Linked DNA regions of Lepisosteus oculatus. Each later gene encodes a partner of the first gene's protein in a complex. Links are inferred from orthologs where the notes say so. Each region holds a gene or a part of one and is shown on either strand. Other genes may lie near its edges.

The links.
Region 2: ing3 (region 1) and anp32e share a complex: the UniProt entries of both Homo sapiens proteins name them as parts of the SWR1-like complex. The link is inferred for Lepisosteus oculatus from reciprocal best matches to the Homo sapiens genes ING3 and ANP32E.

Annotation. Positions count from the first base shown.
Region 1 is NC_090702.1:40,167,096-40,179,035, reverse strand, and holds the start of ing3 (inhibitor of growth protein 3), read left to right. Parts: upstream 1-6,198; 5' UTR 6,199-6,311; coding exon 6,312-6,339; intron 6,340-6,467; coding exon 6,468-6,539; intron 6,540-8,111; coding exon 8,112-8,212; intron 8,213-11,472; coding exon 11,473-11,538; intron 11,539-11,940. UniProt on the Homo sapiens protein: Component of the NuA4 histone acetyltransferase (HAT) complex which is involved in transcriptional activation of select genes principally by acetylation of nucleosomal histones H4 and H2A.
Region 2 is NC_090722.1:3,722,799-3,734,139, forward strand, and holds the start of anp32e (acidic leucine-rich nuclear phosphoprotein 32 family member E), read left to right. Parts: upstream 1-6,917; 5' UTR 6,918-7,089; coding exon 7,090-7,143; intron 7,144-11,320; coding exon 11,321-11,341. UniProt on the Homo sapiens protein: Histone chaperone that specifically mediates the genome-wide removal of histone H2A.Z/H2AZ1 from the nucleosome: removes H2A.Z/H2AZ1 from its normal sites of deposition, especially from enhancer and insulator regions.

The DNA.
Region 1 (11,940 bases):
GGCGTGAAGCAGGTCATCTGTCATGTTCTGAGAGAAATCAACCTTCCCCTAAAACACCTATCTTCCCTTCAAGGAGCTCCGTAGACACACCACTGAAAATATTTTTGCGTGCTGTCAATAGGACTTGTGCTTGTAAGGAGTTTCAGTGACTGAACGCGCACACTCTTCACCCTGACAGACTTGTCTCGGTGTTCTTCTGGGTCCTAGAGACACAAGATAGCTAATTGAGGCGACTCATACGCACATCAAGTCGAAAAGCATCCAAGACCGTTGGAGAAAAAGAATGTGGGCGGTAAATCCGCCTCCGAAAGATAGCATTTGTCGGTCAAGGGGTCATATCTGAGAGAGCATTATTGTCTCAACTGAAAGCAAGACGCAAGCTCTTCCACCCCCTTCTTGACAGGAACAGTTTGTAAAATAAAGGACTTTTGGTAGTTAAGGGGGTGCAAAACTAACCTTTTCACCTTTTGTAACCCTCCTCCCTTCCCCGCTTGTATTCCTAATATTGGAGATGTATTTGTCAGCTGGGGTCTGCAACACCGAAAATAACATTTAAAAACTAGCGCACTCGTGATGTAAACGTAACGGATAACACTTTGCGTTTTCTTGTTAGGGGATCTGATATTTGTACTCTGTGTTGTTTTGCTTACTCTGTAATCTATAAGATTTTAATTTCTGAACGTTTTTTAAAACCACTCTGTACATTTTCCAGAGTAGTGTTTCTGAAACCGAAGGATTAAATTGATTGAATGGATACCTTTGATATCAGATTAATGCATTCATAACAGACCTAATCTCAGCGATCATCGGCAAATTACTTCTTTTGCATAAAATGTTTAATCTTGCATGTATTTTCCCTATAAAACATTTCATCGATTTTCTCATAGAAGCACGCCGTTTCTTTAAAAAAGTTGTATTCCTTGTCTATTGGACCAGCTGTCCCCACCTGACCATCTCAGATGTTGCTGAAAAAATGACCATTGCTATGTTATTGAAATATGAACAAATTCCAAACGTGGACTGAATATACATTTCTTTAAAGTCAATGTTTTCCATCCGGTTGGTGCAATAGTTTTTGCTACGTGGAATCTATATTAATTTGCCAAATGTATTCAGAATTTGGTTTTCACAGTGACAGATATATTAAATAATAAAATAATAAGACAATAGATTATTTTATTATTCCAAACATTAAAGACACACAAGAAAAGACGGACATTTTTAGATGAAGCTTATTGTTTTAGAAGGCTTTAGAATTGCCCCCTTCACATTACATATTTCAAAATATATGCATTCTAAAATGCTTGCAGACAAAAACAGACCTAAATTCCTCAGATTACCTATACATTCAACATCACATGGATGAGTGAAGCAAAACAAAGAACAAAATATACTACAATGTCCTTAAAATGAATGCAAAGTTTACATATATTACAAATTCTTTAATTTCTTTTTACAATCAAGATTTTCATTTTCACAAGAGCCATGAGGCTGCTTTATCACATACAGAAGAACTAATTAATTAGCAATGAGCTTGTCAGGAGCATTTTTCTGTCCAACTGATATAAATACTAGCTCCTCCTAAAAAAAAAGTTAATTTTCCCGAGTGAATAACAATGGAGTTTCATGCATCACAGGCCACTGTTTCATAAGAGAGCTGTATGCAGCTACACCATATGTTACATTAGATCGCACACCTCAAAACAATTAAAATTGTGTATACACTGTACAGTAGATATCTGTCACGCCTTCTGGCTGATCCTACTCTGTCATGTCCCTAGTTTCCTGTGCTTTGCTGTCCTTCCGGTATCTCTCTCTCTCTGGGGCTATATATTTCCGGGTCACTCATTCACCTTCGCTCAGCATTGACATTCAGATGTCCTGAGACCCACCTACAGCACCAGGTCACCCCACGTCCACTGCCTGAGGGCATAGGTTTCTATACGACTCCTGAACTGCTAATCCCCTGTTCCGCCGCTAAGCATAAGGGTCTTTTTCCGCTCTCCTGCCTCTCCACAGTTCGTTCCTTACGACATCCGTGACAATATCAGCTTATAGAAATACACATTTGAAGAAGGCCACTCAAATTGAGTGTCATGTTTTTGTGCCCTTGATAAAATAAAGAAAACATTTTAATCACCAGCAAGAAGGGGGTGGTATGCCAATTTACCTTTATATACTCTCCTGTAGTGATTAGCCAGTTTAATGAGGTATTTATGTAGCATCTTTTATCCCAAAGAATCAGAGTGCTTTACACACAGGAGGGAAATCTAATTATCCACCAATGGGTGATGATGGCAGTCATTATGGATCAGCAGAGAAAGTGGAGAATAATAATAAATCCTTACACTTCTATACAGTTTTTCTGGACACTCCACTCAAACAACTTTACAGGTAATGGGGACTCCTCTCCACCACCACCAATGTGCAGCATCCACCTGGATGATGCGACGGCAGCCGTAGTGCTCCAGTACACTCACCACACACCAGCTATTAGTGGGGAGGAGAGCAGAATGATGAAGCCAGTTCATAAATGAGAATTATAAGGAGGCCATGATTGGTAAAGGCCAGGGGGAAATTTAATGATAAATGTCTTGGGGAGAAATAGAAAAAGTTGTAAAAGAACAATTTAACTTTCTAAAACTTTTTTTTTAATCTGTAACAAAAATAATATGGAGAAGTGCCCTTAAGGCTGAGACTGTTATTTTTTAATGCATTAAATGCTTAAAAATGTGGTAATTTTTCTACATGAGCAAAGAAGCACCTGAGAACAGATGCCTGTTTTTCCCTGTCACCATCTGAAACTCAGAGCTTTTGGCAATCATGTAGGATACTTTCAGAAGGTCTTCTCGAACTGACCTTCTTCATGAAAAAAAATCTTAATTTTTTATTAAGGTACCTATTCTTTTGGAATAGGAACAGGCATGAATAATGTTAACACAATTCTGTATTTTTTGTCAGTTTTATTAATTTAATTTCCTTTTTAGTGTAACAGAAGAAGTCATGTCAAAAACAGTTTCCCAACTCTACATGCTTATGAAACACTTGAATGGTGGTTTAAAAAGTTACATCTTGGGCCAAGTACAAAAACAGAGTAAGAGTTAGCACAGGGACCTGAAAGTATGTAACTCGGGGTTTTCCTCCGGACAAAAGTAAAATGATCAGGTGTGGCTGAGGGGTCCAGAAAAACAAAGTTCACACAGAATGAAGTTGATTTCGCTGCTTAAGTATTCTTCCGCGAAAACATGTTTCTTATTTTTTCCTTGTTAGGAGACTGTGTTAGAAGGGCTGTAGCATGTATATTGGCGGGGAGGCTTGAAGTCATAATATAACCCTTGATATAATATCTATAGTATCTGTAACTAATAAAATTGTACAACATTGGGTTGTGGGGGTTCCACGCTTTGCCACCAGAGGGCAGAAGACCGCATGAAATTTCTAGTTAAAAGCACAAAATACTAAATCCTGAAAGACTATTTTTACAGCCTTTAGTTTTTAAACTGACACATTCGGTTCAGAGAAATAATTGTTAAGAGAAAGAAATTAAGTTGTGCTACACTATGTATTGTTTTAGCATTACTGTCACAAACCAAAATATTTTACAGGAATGTTTCGGTTGTTTCGGTTTTCTCGGATATGAGCAAATTATCGTGTTTCTTCTTTCTACTGTTCATTTAGAAATTAACCTTTACTTCTTCCTTTGAGCTTAACGCACACTGACTGTTCCCCCTTCGAACATATGCATGATAACAATACAGATATTCCCCCTAGTTTTCCCTTCTAGCGGCGGCAGTATAGGAAGAGATGCAGGAGAAGGTAACTGCACCTCAGTGATTTAATTTCGCCTTCTGACCGACGAAGGCGTGCTAATCACTGAGAGGAGGTTTAGGAAGCAGGGCATGGAGAGGAGTAACGGCTGCCGCTGCTTATTTTGGAGTAAGGCGAAAGAGGGAGAGAGGGAGAGAGGGGGGCGTTTTTGTAAAGGCAGGGAGAGGGGAAAGGAGGACTCAAGGTCAGGGTTCAGTGGCTCCTAGACACAGCGATAGCAGGGTGTTACACTGCCCCCTACCCAGCTCCCTCGCACCTGGTAAAGTGTGTGGGGGCGGGCTGGGTGCTGGGATATTGCAGCTGTGGACCGGGCCCAGACGATTGGGAAAACGGTAGAAGGCGAGGCGTCTCCTCCTGCGATAGGGCTTTGGGCTGAAGGCAACGGTGCACCTCTCTTGGCGGCTGGAAAGGTTGTTCCTCAAGGCCGCTTGCCACAGCTCTGCGGATACCCCTCGGCCCAGATGGATAGCGTTCTCTGGGCCCGCTGTCATCTCAGGGTCGTCTGGGCTGCAGGCAGTGGGCCGCTGTAGGCTGACACGACTGCTTTTAAAGAAGCGCAGCGCATCGTAAGGCTCTGCTTCCTGTCTTTTCACAGCACTGTACTCCTGGAGCTCGTCCGCCCACCGGGCAGCTTGTCCCTCTGGGTCACTGAAGGACGTAAACCGGCGCAGCGCAGGTTGCTCAGTGCGGATGGTGAACGGGAGACCACACAGGTGGTGCCTGAAGGGCTCCACCACGTCAGTAACACGATAGTGGCGTTTTGCTTTGGTATGGCTCCGTTCACTCCAAATAAATGCTCATGATTTTCTTCAAACGCAATTCATGAACCAAACATTGTGTTATACGAAGGCTGATGAAGGACTATGCCAGTGAAACAAATCATGTTCGTTAAATCCGTTGTTATAAAACGGATTAAATGAAACACATTTGAGGAAGACGAGTACAGATGTCTGTACTATCAAACAATCGACAGGACATTGGTTAAATATAATAGTATATTTTTGGAAATAGTTATTCGAAGGTAATACTAAATGTTTTTTTCCCCCAAAATAATGATACTGATTTAGTTGTTAACGTGGAAGTTCTTTCTCTAAAGTGCCATGTTACCTTATCAATATAACACCTGGACAAATTGCAAAAGTTTTTCAAACATGGAACTTGAAAGCATGCATTCAAAGACTTCAGCGTGGTAAGTATCTTTAATTTTGTATATTTAAAGAGCCCAATTCACATTAAACTCTTGGGAGCACTTACAAATGATAGGAGGCTATACGATATATCTAGTCTATTTGGTAGTTAGGTGTGAACTAAGCTCTGCCTTTTCTTAAAAGAAGTCAGGGTATCAGCTTCAACATGACTGTGTAGCTACAACCCTTTGGGTAAAGAAGCACCCACTCGTCTTGGTTTTAAACATATTTCCATGTAGTGTATCCACTTGTGTCCTCTAGTTTGTGTTTCACTGTTAATTCTGAAGTTCACTGCTTTGACTTTGCCAGTGCCTTTGAGGCTTTTGGATACTTCAATCAGGTTGCCTTATAGTCTATTGTTCAAGATTAAAAAAAAAAGTTAATCTCACTTAGCCGAGGTCTATTTGAAGTAAAATAAGTACAAAAATTAGAAAGAAGTCTCTACCCATTACCCACAGCCACATTTGGAAGCTGTGCTGGTCAGTGCAGAATGTGTACCGGTATGTGTTGAAATTGCTGTGTCACATCATACTGTCCACAAACATGTATACATTAATGACAGTAGTAAAGTCTGGATAAATGTCTGTTTTGCTGTTTAAATATATTTGCTATTTTCCTATTTACTCTCATTCCAAAATATTTAAATCCTGATTATTTCGAGGGGAAGCTGTGAGTGGTAACTGTAATCTCAGCTTCTTTTCTTATCTACCAGTTAAATGACCATCCATTTTCAATAGCCACTTATTCCAGCAAACATATTTGAGGTGAGCTGAAACCTAGCCCAGCCACCAATGGGCTTAAGACATGCAAACATACACATACTAGCATGTCTTTGGAGAGGGGTATCATCCAAACTCCACATAGAAATATACCCTTAAAGTACATCTGTTTATGATTGTAGGTAGATATCTGTTCTAAATGATTAAGGACCACTGCTGTATATAATAAATGTGCGTTTGTGTTTAATAACAAATATGTGTTAAACCAATCAAATATCATTAACATACAAAATTTGACTTGCCCTTTATCTGAGTGGTTCGGTTTCTGAAGCTCTGGCCTGTCATAAAACAACTGAGGTTAGACTACATCCCCCATGATGCTTTGGCATTAAACCATCAGTTTGCGTCATTTTCTCACACGCCCAATCAGATGTGCAGTCATGGGATGCGTCACATAGAATGACCTCCGGCGGGGAGACGTGATTTTTTTTTTTCCTTGAGCTGCTGGTGAAGACGGCGCCATATTGAAAGGCTAAAATTCTTTTACTAAAAGCCTAAAACATACGTTTGAGCCAAAATGCTGTACTTAGAGGACTACCTGGAAAGTGAGTATGGTATTTTGTAAGCGAATTTCGTGTTGGTTAAGGATCATTTAACGTGCGGGATGTGCAGGTGTTGTGTCGTGTAGCTCCCAGACGGCTAGCTAATTTTTTTTTATTCTTCTCTTTGGCAGTGATCGAGCAGCTTCCCATGGATCTGCGCGACAGGTTTACGGAAATGAGAGAAATGGACCTCCAAGTTCAGAGTACGCATTCGCTACAACGTGACCAAGTCAAATACTTGCCTAGCTAATTCATGGCCGTTTTCTCATTTCGGAGTGCTTATTTTTGGTATAGATGGGGCTGTATATTGATCTTTGATCAGATTAGATACAAGACTACGAATATTTACATTTTCCTGAAGATTTCACAGCTTTATTAGCTTAAAATGCACTATTCTGTCTACATCAATCTGCATTGTTTACTTCATTTATCCAGGCAGTGCTCCGTTTATCGGTCACTCATGATGGTAACACTTTCTATTTTGTAATCCGCACACTGTGTTTAAGCATCTTAAAGTGTATTTCAGTGCTGTTGTCCAACAATAGTGCTTCAGACCTGCTTAGAAGATCGTCGTAGCAGAAGCAGATGAAATCTTGCCAAGGAGTTGGAGGAGGAACGTTTCAGCCTGAACAGAATAGAATGAAGGGGCAGAGGGCACATATCTGGGTTGTTACAGGAAACCCTTCACCAGTGCCGTTACCAAGACTTATATAGGCTTTTATTTGTTTCATTGTCCGGGTGATTCCAAATGCCGTTGTTAGTTTTGGCTTGGTAACATGATGGGGAAGTGAAAGACGAGATGAATTTCAAGAGCCGTGTGTGCGGCCTACCGTGAGAAATGGGATGGACCGTTATCGGAAGTCTTTACCGTTTTACATTTTGGTGATGAGAGAGGAGTGAACGAGTGAAGTCCCTAATGCAGCCACACGTGTGACATTAAATATGTCTTAACAGAATATTGTATTGCAAAGGTATCTTGGATTATATGTAAATTACAGTGGAGCTACTTTCTATTAACTATTCTTATTCCTCCTAATATCTAAAATATATATAAAAAATCATTGCCTCAGAATTGTTGCAAATTTGTCACTCACTCCTTGTGTATATGTACTGTATGCCTTTACAGTTTATATGTCTGCCATCTCCCCAAAATAATCCCTTCAACTGTAGACATCCCTGTGCAGATGAACCGTATGAAATCAACCAGCTTTTTAAAGTATTGCCTAAAGAGATTTTCAGACACAGAAGAGTCCTTAGCAGATTGGCTTTATTGTGCAGACAGACTTACAGTATGCAGTCTACAAGGCATTTACAATGTAATTTTTTTTATTTTTTCAGAGATAAGAGATTACTGTTATTAGAAGTGGAGTAAACGCTCAATCATTGCACCAAGCTAGAGAGCAGGCATTTTGTGTTGAGTTTGAAATTTAATTTGTAAAACCATTATAGCCATTTAAAGAAACCTGTACTTGCATTGTGTTCATAGATATATTTTTGCCTTAAATGGAAATTGCTGCTCTTTTGATATGTACTTTTATACACTGACCATTTTCAGTACTCTGGACTCTTGAGTGTGAGTCATGTTTTCTAATGTTTACAGACATTTCAGTTATGGAATTAAAATTCAAATGCATGTTGTGAACAGTATTTAGCTTTAAAGTAAATAAGACCTACAAAATAAGGTCTAGCAAATCTGTTACATATGTTGTTGGAAAGGCTCTCAACCTGTCTTTTTATCCTCCTAATCTGAGGGATTCATTTGTTTTTTGTTGTAGATGCCATGGATCAGCTGGAACAGAGGGTGAATGAATTTTTTATCAATGCAAAGAAGAACAAGCCAGAATGGAGGGAGGAACAAATGGAAGCAATAAAAAAAGTGAGATTAATCGTACACTGCTTTTTTTGTAACTGCATTCAGCATTTCAAGCATTTGATTTGAACTCTTAAGTGTTTTCAAGTTTTTCAATTCTAGATAAATAAAATGTTTTGGCTTCCATTTTTTGCTTTTATATGATCATCAATTTAGTCATTTGCTCCTTTTGCCCAGACAGCCCAGGAGTCTTAAGAACAAACTATTCCATGCTTTGCCAAATTATTTTTAATCCAGCCGAAATTTTCTAACCTGTCCGTTATCAGGATCAGGATCAGGATCTTTTATAAGATCAGTCTTAAAACAATAATATGGACATTTTACATGTTTTTTTATTCAGAATTAATCCTAACTACTGTGTCTACATGATGCATTGTGTACTCTCATCACTGACACATCGTTTCCCAGGTTGACCCTTCTGGTATAAGGCTGAACACAGAGCATAGGTCACTTCCAGCACCACTTTCTTCTACTGCTCTGAAAAACATATTTTGAGCTCTTTACACCAGATTATGCATTGCTGTGTATTGGCCTTGGTTACTAGCTGTTTCCAAATGGCAACATTGTGAATCTCTCGCCACAGTTTTTGTTTAGACTGGGTCACAGAGGTGTAGATTCAGTTCTGTGGTCATTTTTGAGGCCATCATATTGTAGTGGTTAGCAAGTGTCTTTGACTTGCAGCCTCTGTTCCTCTTTCCTGATGCTGTTTTCTCTTGTTTGGTGTATGCTGCCATGCTTTTCCAAACTATTCCCCTTGACATACTAAGTAGTGTAGCTGTTTCTATGCTCCTACAGTTTGGGTACCAACTACTTGACCTCTTTCATTGCTGTTAGATCTCTAAAGTTGCTTTAGTACCTCACATATTAGAAGTGTTGATTTTAAAATGTCCTAACAGCAGAAATATATTGGTAACTAGTACTGAAATTAATATGAAGCTTTTGTAGAATCATTTTTAATTGTGATTTAGTTGCTTAAAAATAGGTTACAGCCATAGTGGGGAGTTAGTAGTAGCCCAGATTGATCTAGATTCTGCAAGAGCTAGACGGATAACCAGCCAGCGGCTAGGTTGACTTTTTAAAAGATGGTTTTCGCTGTACATCTCTAGGAAAGCCTTATCGTGGTTGACCAATGGAATATAATAACAGGGCTGACCCAATGGAGTCTCCAACTTAAGAATTGATTGTTTTTCAATTGGTTGTTTAGGAGGTGATTTGTTTTTCAGATTTGTACCAGATATAACCGAATTACAAGGTTAAGTTCCAAAGTAACTAACGTGAGACAAATCTTATTTTCACAAAGTAGATAGTGTAAATTTGTAATTTATATATATATAAAAAATATTTCCAAATTTGAAGACAAAATTTACAAGCAGTTGAAAGGAAAACTCAATGAGCTTTACATATGTCTTGTCAGGCTGCGATCTTGCTGGTCAAATTGAAGCAATATGCACTGACAACACATGAAAAATTACTTTGGGTATGAGTAAAACCAAATTTGAAAGTAATCTTTTGTAGTGCATGTTCTTTGCATCATAATGTCAATATGCCCTACAAATTGCTTCAACTGACAGCACACTGTGCCATAAATATTTTTAATGTGGCCTGCAACCAGGCACAAGAGAAGTAGGTGTAATTATGTATTTCTTATGTAAAATTTACTGGAAGTTTGGAAGGGATGTCCCTCACCTGTACAACTCTTAACTCCTGAAACTTTCCTGAAAAAATGACAAATATCATAGTCGATCTGCCCCTCACTGTTGTTCGCATTCATCTTTCTGGATCCCTCCACTACCTCATCTCCACTGTTGCAGCTACTCCTTGGTTAACATCTCTCCCTTTATGGGGATCCTAACTTCCTCACCCTATGCCAGTTGGTTGTCTCTCTGCCTAGCAGGTTAAGTCAAAGTTTCTTATGCATTAGGAACAATAGTTGTCTGGATAGAAATTGGCCCAATTATAGTTGGGGCTATAGCTCTTGAAGCCAGTAGAAACCAGGATTGAAATGCAGCATGCTAGGGATGTAATTTCTTACTCTCTTACCATGGTTGATATCCACTTTTGTACTGCTTTAAGAAAACCTCAATTTTGAGGTAAAAATCTGGTCTGTTTTAATTCAGTTCAGTTTCTCTACATTTGGCATTAGATTGTTGCTTTTACTTTATTGGAAAACCATGAGCCCTGTATAGTTTAGATAAGACTTTATTAATCCCGAAGGGTTTGTTGCCATTTGTCACAACAGTTGTGCGTTAATTTGCTTTGTTGCTACAATACTACAGAAGCTGACACTGTTCCTGGAATAAAAATGGAAAACCATTTATTTTAGATCAGAAGAGAAGTATTCCTTTTTAGGGGACATACTTCTCTTTAATATCAATTTATTTTCAAATGTAAGTGCAGTGTTGATATATTTGGCATTACACGTGTTTCTTTTCTCCATTAGAGGGGACCTAAAGTACGGGCAGAGACATTTTCCACACAGAAAATGGAAATAGAATATATTGGAATTATTTTATTAAATGAAGACTTAGTCTTTAAAATGGTTAAGATTTTATCCAATGGATTATGTTCCATCAAATCAAAAGAGATTACAATCAGGCATATTAAAACTGAAGTTTTGAGAATAATTGAGTGTTTTCTCAGTTATAAAGTCGGTGCCTACTTCCGTTCATTAAAATGTCATAGCTGTCAAACTAGAGCTGGAATGGGCAATCCAGGTTCTAGAGGACCAGCGCAGGTTTCCTAGGTCTCTTTAGGGCACCAGCACCTGAAAAGCTAGAAGAAGCTGTAAAACTGGCCCATTAAGACAGTTTAAGCTTGTTAAGAGTCGAGCTGAAATGAAAATCTGCTAACACTTTGCAGACTTCTCTAGTCCTGGACTGCCCATCCATGAACTAGAAAATATACATAAGAGCACACCTCAGAAATTTTAATGTTACTATGAGAGAGAGATGATAAAGATCTCCTTTGTATTTAAATTGTTATACAAATATCATATTATTTAAAGCCTCCACTTAAAAGACTCAAATGTGAACCAGTGAACCTCCTGAGCTAGACAGCAGAAGCCAGGTGTCCAGCTGGGAAGTGCTGTTATGTTTCAGTCCTTATTATATTGTTTTTATAAACTACCTGGATTTGGTGTCTGGCACTTTCTGGAAAGGAAGTAGGCTCAGTTGTTTTCCTTGGCAGTCTTTTTTCTTTCTGTACTTGACTTTTTCCTCTTTTCCTTGCCTCACCCTTCCTAACTTCCTATTCGTTTCCCATTTCAGGATTATTACAAAGCCCTGGAAGATGCAGATGAGAAAGTTCAATTAGCAAATCAGATTTATGACTTGGTAAGTAGGACTATGACATTTGGAAACACAAACTCCCAGGTTTAGCTCCACTTCAGTTGTAGTTTTTTTTGTATATCTGTCAGTCTCGGCTTATGATTTTCTCCCCGTTAAAGTACTTTTTTTAAGTTACTTTGAACTAAATGTCTTGAATCTGGACTGTTTGCATTTAATTTCTCGTGCCACTAGATGGCAGTGAAACCTTAACATTATTGTTTATTGTGTAGAATAAATGTTCTGTGTGCTTCTTGAACTTCGGCTACATCACAATGCAGTGTGAAGAGCTGTTGGGTGTATGACAATTCTGTGCATGTTCATGACCATAATGTCACCTGTTTGGCTTGTGTATCTGAATTTGTGTTTCATTTTTACAGTAGTACCACTTACGTTAGAGTATAATTTACT
Region 2 (11,341 bases), on another chromosome or scaffold:
TGCTGGAGTTTTGATCCGGGTGCTGTAACAGTACTGCGCTGCTTACGTTTTGAGGCTGAGGCATTTCACAAACGCAGCGGGGATATTAAGATCGGGATCTCCTCCGGGTTTGTCCCGGACTCACGGCGTTTGATGGCTCTCAGATCCGTCAGCTGCCGGCGCCGGGCGCTACGCCCTGCCGAGAAAACGGACACCGACCGCCCGCTCCACAGCTCCAGGATCCGATGGGCAGAGAGCCCGGCGTGTGTCACAGGTCACCCACTGGAGGTGCTGAGGTCTGAGTGCGGGAAGACGAACGAGGAACAGCAAAGAGACGCCCCCGTGACTTTATTAGACGGCGGTGGGGGCAAGTCGGCGCAGCTCAGCGCGGGGTCGGCTCAGGGGCGCGCAGCGCGGACAACACCTGGATTCGCGATCAGGCGAGCGGCAACAGGATGTGAGCGGACGGGGGTTTGGAGCCGCGTTGAGGGTAGTTCCATACTCGCGCTTCAGGCTGCTCGTACCCTGGGTAGCTGTAGCAGTGGTCAGGGGGCTGTCTGTCTGTCCCGTGGGGAATTCTGGGAGGGGGAGCGTGGGGGGGGGGGGTTTGTTGCTCTCGTCCCGACTCGTGCTTCGGCCCCACTCCGACGAGGCATTGCGTGGGAGGGAGTCTCTCCCGGGGAAGGGGGCCCGGTGGGGGGGGCAGGAAACACGTGACAGAGCGGAGGCTCCTCCGCAGAAAGACACTGGGTTGGGCGCGGGACGGGACGTCCACTCTCCTCACCAGCATCCCCTTAGTGCCCCCCCCAGTGCTCCCCCAGAGAGGGGGGGTTCTGCTTCTAATTGCCCCCCAACTGCTTCCCAGATCGACGAGCCGCCTCTGTCGTTTGTTCATGGAAAACCCGGTTGAACACCTTCATCCACTCCTGAGCACAGCTGGGTGCGCAGAGATTAATTTGATCCTTCTCGGGGTTTTTTTTTACACAGTTTTTTTTTTTTTGTAATCAGCCTTTTTAAAACAAAATCTCCAGGTTCTGGTAACGCCTCGGTCAGCCTGCCCGAGCGCCCGTGTGAAGTTGCGCGTTTCAGTCCTTCCCATCCAGGACGCGAAACTTGGCCTCCAGACACATGAAATAATCATGATTCATGCTCGCTGTTTCCGTGTTTTTCTTTCTTTCTCTTGGGCTGATGTAACGAGGAGATTTCCAGTTATGACTTTGGCACGGTGTGAAAGAACGCTACAACATAAGAAAGCAATTATATATTTTTAGCCACAAAATAGTTGTGATTTTGAGCGCCACCCTCAATCGAACACACAGGAACATAAGAAAAGGTACCAACGAGAAGAGGCCAGTGGGCCCATCTGGGCATTTTGGTGGTTAATAGTTAATGATTAATCATATAGTATTTATCATTATTATATATGATAATAAAAGTATCAATAATACATTATTAGTAGTATTAATCGAGTGAAGGATCTCGTGATTTGAATTGTGCACTTTTGACTTCATCTCCTAACATTTTGTTTTGTTATTTTTATTGCTTCCCTACATTGTCTAGGCGATGTAAACATTGTGTCGACATAAACACCCAAGTCTCTTTTAATGAGGAGCACTTGTAGTTTGTTTCTGTTACCTGGATGCAAAACCCGACAACTCCCAGATTCATTCAAATGAGGCAAAAAATAAATTACACACCATACAGAGACAAGATCTATATTCTGATACGTTTCTAATGAACGTTTACACCAATTCCTCTCACAGTTAAACAAATATTGAACGGACTTACTTGCCTTTGGTAAGAGATTTAGAGTTGTAAGCCCCTGTATCATGTGTTAGTTAAAATTACTGTCGTATTTGCAGTGGCGCAAGCAGTTGCCGCAGTATGTATGCATGGTAAGCACAGCTAAGCCTAACGGACTGGGTTGGTGTGCCCATGTCTCAGGCTTCTTCTGTAAGGGGATGTTTAAATTATTGACATAAAATTGCTACATCTTTGGGAATCATCCATTTTCTAACCGCTGTGGGGGGGAGCCGGAGCCTATCCTGGCAAGCAACAGGCGCAAAGCAGAAACCATGCTGGACGAGATGCCAGTCCATCACAGGGCACACCCACACACACTCACACCAGGGCCAGTTTGAGACCATTAAGCTCCCAGTATGTGTTTGTAGCGTTGGAGGAGACCAGAGCACCCAGCTGAAACCCCATGCAAAACACCAGTAGTGGGCAGTGCCGGATTTCCCATGAGGCACCTTAGGCACAGCGCCTAGGGCCTCCCAAGGAGGGAAACTCTAGTGACTGAAACAACATGCTGGCGATCGGCTCGAGGTGCTCCAGATCAATAATCAGACGCTGCTCTAGACACTAGCAGTATGGAAGTGATGGTGGCTCGACTCGCTCCCTCAGTCAGGGGGTTTAGCACTGGAATAGTTTACAGGGCGTCACGTCAGTTGGCGTTCACCCCTCTTCACCCCTCGGAGTGAAAGTGCCCAGGGCCTACGAACCCCAGAATCCGGCCCTGGTAGTGGGGACATAAACTCCACACAGACAGCGCCCCAGGAAAGGAACCCACAGCCCCAGCGCTGTACAGCAGCGATGCCACCCTGCCGCCTCTTTACCATTCTTATTCAGAGGTGTTGTTTTTTTCCTCCACGGCTTTTTGTTACCGTTCCTCTGTGCGGGCATTCAGATGCGTGGCCTGTGAATACATCCGTCTCCCCTGTCTTCCATCCACAGTGCGAATGGGTCTAACGGGCCAGCGAGCGGCCCATTGTCTGAGCCCGGGGCAGGGCGCCCGCCTGAAGACAAGGCCGTGAATAACAGACGAGCACCGAGTGCGAGAAACCATCCGCTCCCCGCTGGCGGCCCCAGGGGCTCAGGCTCGGTGAGGAATTTAAATCCAGCAGAGTTGTGCTCAAGCTTTGCAGCAGATGAGCAAGGGCCCATTGAGAAAACAGTAATCCCTTCTGGTCACCATTAGAAAGTCACCACGTACCTACCTTTTGCATTGACTGTGTCGTCATTATCTTGGTCAATTCTTTCATTAACCAGAATGGGATGCATTGAGACCAGTTCAGTTTATTTTGCATGCCAAGTGCAATGAAGTGCTCAGAACCTCAATTCCTGATCCCTAAAATAGCAGGATCCCTAAAGACTGGCAGAGCCTGGGACAGTAGAATGACAGTCCAGCAGAATTTAGAAGTCATGCCTCAATTATAATCTCATGTAAAGACATGGAGCTAATGTCTTTAAAAAAAAAATGATGTAACCTCTTTAATTAAGCTTGCACGGTTGGGTCCTTTAATGAGGTGTCCAATATTTAACTGGGTCTCTACAGCAAACCAATTGGCCCTTACCGATCATGGCCTCTATGAACTGGTTTCATTACTCTGCTCTCCTCCCCACTGATAGCTGGTGAGTGGGGAGCGTTCTGGCGCACTATGGCTGCTGTCGCATCATCCAGGTGGGGCTGCACACTGGTGGGCTCATTGAGAAAACAGTCATCCCTTCTGGTCACCATTAGAAAGAGTAACACGAATGATACTTAGTCGTCTAGGATTGTCATACACAAGATATAGCTCTCTAGTAGTTCAAGTAGCGGGCTACCTCAGTGTGCCTAGCCTGCAAAGGAACAAGTAAAGGTTTATTCCCCGCTGAAAAGGGAAGAAAAGAGACACAACGTTTCGGCTGAGGAGGTTTCTTGGGGCGTCAACAGAAGAAGTTTGTGGCACACCCGAAAAGGGCTCCACGGCCGAAACGTCATGTTTCTTTCCTTCTCTTTTCAGCGGGCACTAGATCTCTTTAGTCAATGACGAAGGGGATTGAGAGAAGAGTTGATCCCAATTGCCACATTTCCGATGGTCATAAATGGTGCCCATCCTTGGCAGTTGAGGATCGAAGAAGTAATTTAGGAAAGAAAACAGCAGGCCCTCTCTTATACCAGGGGCTGTGTCAGCAATGTGTTCCTTCAGAGAATGGCTCAACCGGATCTGCTCTGCTACTCGGTCGCCGCAATGCCTGATGGGAGGAATGGCTTGCTCTTCTGTATGTTCTCAGACAGAAACAAAACCAAGGAAAATGCACAGGGCTGGGCACGCGTGTTTTACAATGTCGTGAGTCTCCCGAACTTCCCCAGCGGAGATTTGTGAAGCCGCATCAGTGTGGTCCTGTCCCCTCTTTCAGATAAAAAGGGCCTGTTCGTGACTGCTCTGCCTCACCACTACCTCAGGCTCGAAGATGTGGAATTTTAATCCGGAGAAGGTGGCCGTGGGCCTCTTTCCTCTCTCGGAAGACCTTGAGGGTTTAAAGGCTCTGTAGTCCAGAGTGGTTCTGTCATGGTCCTGGAGATCAGGTGTGTGCGCACAGGTCTTCCAGTTCTCTTTAAAGCAGCAGTGCAAGCAGAAGCAGTGGATGAAGCTCTAATTGGTTACTAAGCCAATACATCTATTTAGCTTAAGTTAACTGTGACTGGGAGTGGAGCTCCCTCTAGCGGGAGGTCGAGCCGTGGTCCTATCATCTCTATTCCTGCTGGGTGCTGGAACCGCAGGAATCCAGTCACAGGTCGTCCGTCACCTGGTGCTGGCTGCCCCCTGGTGGACAGAAAGTAGGACGTCTTGACTCCACAAGCTACGGCGGTGATGCAGAGCTGCCGGTGAGTTTCACACAAATCCAGGACAATGCGCTTCTGCTCTCATACAAGGAAGGGCTGGAAACTGATCCTTTCAAATTCAGTCATTTCGCCTTGGCAGGCCTGCGGCGTAAACGACTTATACGTTGTATATGGAGATTATAACGCAAGTCTTTGTTAAACGGTGCGCCAATTCCTTCTCTTACACAAACTCTCCGTAATTCCGTGCAGCATTTCTAAGTCCAGAAGAGAGGTATTTTTTTTAAATCTATGATCCCCAAGGGGCGATTAGTTTTGCCAGCAACAGAAAATATAAAGAAAGTCACGCACACGCACATATACAGAAGAATAATATGTTAAGCAAGGTTGTAACCGCGGGTACATACTGTATGAGAACGTGAAGGAGTTTGTTTTGAAATGGGAAAGTCTGTATCTGCGTTCTGAGGGGAGTAACGCCTGTGGTAGCGAAGCTCGGTTCTGCAGAACCACAGATCCAGTCGGTCCCGCTGATCACCCTGACATAATCTCTTGCAAAGACATGGGACACTGGAGCCGTGTAAAGCTTTCTGCATTGTGGCTGGTCACCCCCGTTCGAGTCATCTAGTTTAACAGAACACGTTGTCAATGCGGGGTTTTGAACTGCATCTATAGCACTTCAATATTTTTAAATGGCCATATTGTTCATGTTTTTGTTTTCATTCCCATCGTATTCCACTCAATGTGCTGTCCCAAGAGAGGAAACTCTGAGGAGGCTTAAAAGAGGAGAGGTTTAGGGGAAAGGGTCATTGTGTACGGTGATGGGGACGCTATATTACACTTGGTCTTAGCTGAAAGGCCAAGAAGACACACAAGACTACAGAAACTCACCACTGGCAGCCCCACTGGAGCTCAGCAAGTGTGAGCCTGGCCAGTACCTGGAGGGGAGACTCCTGGGAAAGCTGAGGCTGCTGCTGGAAGAGGTGTTAGTGGGGCCAGTAGGGGGCGCTCACCCTGCGGTCTGTGTGGCGTAAAACCGTGTGGTCTAAAAAGGCGTAAAACCTTTGCATTAGACATAAAACCAAGGTCATTTAAAATCCCAGGGTGTTTCTCAAAAAGAATAGTGTAGTGCTACTCCAGTGTCCTTGATTGTACCAATCATGGCCTCCTAATAATCCCCCATTTGTGATGTGTGGTGAGTACACTTGTGTACTTTGGCTGCTGTTGCATCATCCAGGTGGGGCTGCACACTGGTGGTGGTGCTGGAGGGGATCCCCATGACCTGTAAAGTGCTTTGAGTGGAGTGTCCAGAAAAGCGCTATATAAGTGTAAGGAATTAAATAATTAAACTAACCACTCTGAACTATGACTCGTCAGTCTTGTTTCTCCACCAGCAACGAGACCGTGCTCACCCCTGACTTCTATTCAAAACTGTGTGTAAACAAAACCTGGCATTTTAAAAGCTGGAATCTTTAACCTTCTAATATTGTGTACACCATTGATCAGACCCTCAACTGTCTGGCACACAATTTTAGCTCTAAGGAAAAAGCACTTCTTTTTTTTTTCAGGGAGATTTGGAAGATTTCTTGATCGCTTAAGGACCTGACCGATACAAAAATACCCAGGGTGTGTTGTTTTATTTCTGTTGGGTTTGCTTGTTGCCGTCTGTTGGGAGCCAAGCGCGGAGTTGGACCCGTGCGTCATCTGAAAGCGCCGCGGCGACAGATTTCAGGACCAGATGGCCCGAGCGTGGTCTCCCCGCGCTGGAAACACGAGTTCATGGTCCTTCCCCGATCAGCCATTTTGTCACGGTTCAGCGAGGGAGAAGCGCTGTTTTGTGTTCAAACGGTGGGACAAGCGCTTGTGTACAACAGCTAGCAATGCATTAATTATTAAAGGAGAGGACGGGCATACGGGAAAAGCACTGTTGCAGCATAGGTTATGGAACAATGTAACCTAATTTCTTTTTCTGAAAGCATAATTGTTTACCCCCGCTCATTTCTTGACCTTAACCCCCCCTTGGCCCTGCTAGTATAATGAAAAATAATAGAGGGGGGGCTGACCTCATCTGCAGGTTCTTAACTAAAGGCGCCAATGAACACAAAGAATGGGCGGCCCTCGGGTTTAAAAACCAGGAGACCGACAGCCGCCCTGACCAATCGCAATGTACTGCGCGCGTAATTCTAGCCAATCGTCGCCCCCGTCGGCCCCGATTATGTTAATCGGGGTCGATCTCGTTGAGCGCCAGCCCGCCCGTCCAATAGCGAGGCGCGAAGCGGCCGGGCGCCAATCGCAGGGCGCGGGAGGCGGGGCTTAACGGAGGGGGCTGGGTGCGAGGTATCATGGAGGCTCAGTTAGCGAGCAGCAGCCATTGAAGAAAGCCGAGACGCGGGGGCAGAGCTCTGGAGTTTCTGCAGTTTTTTTTCCCCAATTTAGTTTTCTTTCCCCCCTTTCGTTTGCAACTTTTTTTTATTTTGCTATTTATTTTTTCCAGACAAAAAAAAAAAATGGACATGAAGAAGAGGATCAGTTTGGAACTGAGGAACAGGACTCCGGACGAGGTAGGAGCTTGCCTTTCCCTTTGCCTTTTATTTATTTATTTCTTTAAAGAACCGCCGAGGCAGCTCGGCGGGTGTGATGGTAGCGAATGTGGAATTAGGCATCAGCTCGCCCGACCACATGGGCACCAGCGCGGAGACGCGTCGGAAATTGAACTTGGGGAAAGTTTCGTGCCGTCGGGGAAAGCCGCCCTCCTCGATAACAGACCGCTCTCCCCTCCCTCCCTCCGATTTAATATTTTAACAGCTCCCAGTAATGGCGATGTCGGGTCTTTATAGATGTAGCTGAGATCCGAGATGTTGCGGCCGGGCTCCGGTCCTGCCTGGCGGCGGCTGTGTCCGCGGCAGCTGAGCGGGACCGGACGGGTCGGGCGAGGGGCAGGGTGTCCGGCTGCGGGAGTCCTGTCGCGGCGCAGCCCGGGGAAGTTTTTGGGGGGTGTTTGTGTTTTTGTTTTGCACCCAGATTATTGAATCGGTTCGGGTCGAGCAGCAGCAGCAGCAGCAGGGAACACGCGTTCAAGGAGGAGGGTTAAACCCCTGTTTCTGGGGTGCGGGGTGGGTGGGTTTCGGCTCTGTTTTGTGACCCCTCTGCCTCCCTCAGTCCCCGTTTCGGGGCTCAGTTCGTGGCCGGTATTTCAAAGAGGGGGTCCCCGGGCTGGAGGTCTGTGAGTGGTGACGGGTTGTTGTGGGGGGGGGGTGTCGGCTCCTGTGTGACTGAGCCGACCCGGACCAGATGAGCCCCGGTCCCGCCTCGCACACCTGAAAGTGTGGGGGTGCGTGTGCGTGTTGGGGGGTGCGGGCGGGTATTCTTCAGCTTTCACAACCGAAATCACCCCCACACACACACCACCACATCCTTCATGGGTCGCTGTTTACAAACCGAGACACTGCCGAAGTACGTTTCACATGGAAAAAGACTTGTTTTTGTTGTTTTGCGATCGCGGCGGGCGGGGGTCTCCTAAAAAGTGGGAGCCCCCCTCCTACCCCGTTAAAAAAGGGGGTGGGGGTACCCCGAAGGTTTTTGGCGCCGCTCCTGAACGGGCGGCGCGTTGACCTGTGACTGTCCCAGCGCTGAGGCTGAGTAGTCCGCCCCCGGGCCGGCGCTGGGTTTCGGTTTCGGGGTTTCCGCGGCGGTGAGGGCGGGGGGTGTCCTTGTGGACTCGCGGCTTTATCTCTCGCCGACACCGGCGGGGGGAGGAGGCGGCTACGCCGGTGTTGCTGGCGACGGCCGCATCCCGGCGCTGTCGTGACGGGGGTTGTGGTGGGGGGGGGAGGAGAGTCAAGTCGCTGCCGCCTCACGACGGAGAGAAATGCCTTTCTCTTTCTCGGCGTGTCCTATAGCCCACGCCACGGTTTGTGTGCGTGTGGAGAGGAAAAACCCTGTCGGTGAGACTCGGCTCTCATCCCTGTGGCGTCGGAGCCCCGCAGGCCCGGCCGAGCGGCGCTGTCGTCGGACGCGGTGGCCGCCGAGCTGAATTTGAAGGACTACAGCAGATGGCGAGGTTTAACTCCGACCCCCCCCCCCCGCCCGCCCCCAGCTCAGTACCGTAGAAGTAGATTAAGCGCCCGTTTCCCGAAGCAGTTGAGGCAAAATCTGCAGCGGAATTATTTTTTTGTTTATGTCTCGTATGGTATGAAAACTCGGCTGCGACCCGGTTGTTTTTGTGAGAGCAGCTGCACCTGGGTATCGAAGTGACGGGGGGACACGGGTCATCGGTTTCTCAGTCCTAGGGAGAGAATTTAAGTTGGGTCTTAATTAAGGTCTCGTTTTCTTGATGGTGAAGACGGGACTTCACAACCCTTTCCAGCACTACCGGGGGTACCTCTTGAGTCGAGAGCACTCTGGAGTGCAGCAAACAGCGAAACCTCACCCACGACTTAGCCCGGACTCTTTCTGAGCTTTGTCCCTTTTGGCCGTTACCGTTTAATTCACCAGATAGCCGTGGAAATCCACTGTTCACTGTTGATGATGGTGATGTTCCGAGATCCGAGATGGCGTCTGATCGGTTTTCTGTTTGTTTTTTTTAAACCCAGGTTGGAAACAACCTTGAGTTTATTTTAACCCCACAAGTGGGCTTTAGGGTTTGGTCCTCTACAGACCTCAGTGATCGCCAGGCGAGAGCTTCCCTTCATTTAAGATCAGATCACTTTATTGGCCCTATACAATTTCTCATATTAGGAATTTGTCTTTTCACATACTCCAGCTTGCTCTCCTTGAGACACACAGACGGGGAGAGAAGCTGGGGGTCAGAGCGCAGGGTCAGCCATTTATACAGCACCCCTGGAGCAGTTGGGGTGAAGGGCCTTGCTCAGGGGCCCAACGGGGTAGGATTCCTCTGCCGGCCTCGGGATACGAGCCGGCAACTTCCCAGCCACAGGCGCAGATCCTGAGCCACAGAGCCGCCCCCTACCTGTACCGATTTTTAATTTTTTGCTTTCATGGCGCAGTTCTCGAGTTAGTGGTAGGACACCCACAGAGCCGTCAATCTTGGGGCACTGAAGGAGTCAGCACTACCTCAGAGCACAAACCCAGGATCAGTTCATGCACGTGGGGGTCACCTAAGAGTTCTCAGAGTGATAAAAATACCAGCTGGTGGGAAAACTATACAATTGAGGAACCTGTGGATTCACACGTTGTGATTCCAAGGACTTGAAGTTTTAGTCATCGTTCCATTCAGGTTTGATGGCTTCCTGTGCTGCCTGGACTGGGGCTCTGTGTGAGTACAGTTCGAGCCTCACCTTAGCGTGAGCTCTGTTTTGACTTGCTTTTCTTCCAAGCAACTTTAAAGCTGGTGAGATATACAAAGCTTGCATGTCCTAACTGCTACAAGGCTGTTTTGAAACCTCCTGGGTGTCCATTTACACCAAAAGCGCACTCTAAAAAAAAAAACAACAGTTCTGACTGTTGATCTTCCACTCAAATCTGTTTTGCAAATTAGCAGACGGCTGCCCTCCGAAGCCTTCTCATTGTCTTGTTTCGCACAGCTGTGCTTGAATGGGAGCTGGCTGCCATGTCTGCTCTGCTCAGACGCATTGGAACTACAGATCCCAGCATTCCTGGCGACAGCAGGTCAGCCGAAGGGGGGGAGGTCACAAAGCAGATAATGCTGCCTTTCCCGTCTGAACCTGCCCCTGGCGAAACCAAACCGGCCTGAATTTAAGCAGCTCTGCACCTCGTGTTTGACTCAGTGCTGTGAAAACGATCCAGAGGAGGGGCTAATCTGTGGATTGTTCTTGTTGCAACCAAATGTTGGAGAGAGGCACCGGTGGTCCTGATAAGTGCATTAGCTGAAACTGCTCAGCTCAGCCCACCTTGAGCTTAAGGCAGGAGTAACAGCTGTTGCCGAGATGGCAGAGAAGATTTGGACTCGATATTTCTGCTTCCTCGAGCATCTTCCTGCCTCTGAATCCACTACCCCCCCAAAGCCCCTGGAAAATCTGATATCTCTGGACTTAACAGATCCCTGGCTGTCGCTACAGATGGAGCCCGGCCTTTCATTATTTAACTGGTCTGCCCGGAGAATTTCCTTGTGAGCTCTCGGAAATGTTTATCGTTTTTTTTCGTTAATTAGAAAATTGCTTTCACCCTCCCCCTTGCTTGGTCTTAGGGTACAAAGAGCATGTTCCTAGGCGAGCAGTGGGATTAACTGTTAAATCTGTGGCATAGCACAGTCTCTTAGGTGTTTTTGTCATTTGGCTGATTACGCTTCGTGATATCGCAAGAGTGCCAGATGCAGGTTTGAGCACATTTCCGAGCGGGGGGTTTTGTAGTTGTAAGGTTGATCATCCCCGTTCATCTGTCACAATTCCTGACCCATTCCTAGTGTTGAGTGGTGGGGCTTCGCTCGGTCACTTCAGCACTTCTTCCAGGGCTGAGGTGCTCGGAGTTTGGGTGGGTTTGCCAGGTGCTAATCGGAGGTGTGATCGGTTGAGGCTTTTCTCTGAAGAGTAGGGGGCCGGTTCGTCTCGAATTCTCGCAAATGCCTGCAAAACTCCCGCAGATGGATCCGAAGATCACCTATTTTCACCTATTAACCCAACCCTTCCATCGGAGGCCCGAGCCTCGTTTTTATCCTGGTGTCCGAGACTTTGACCAGTCGTTGGATGCTTGGCTTCTTACCGGCAGTGAGGTTTGAACGGAGGGGCTGAATGTCGTCTCCTCTCCCGTCTCCCTCTCCAGGTGGCTGAGCTGGTGGTGGAT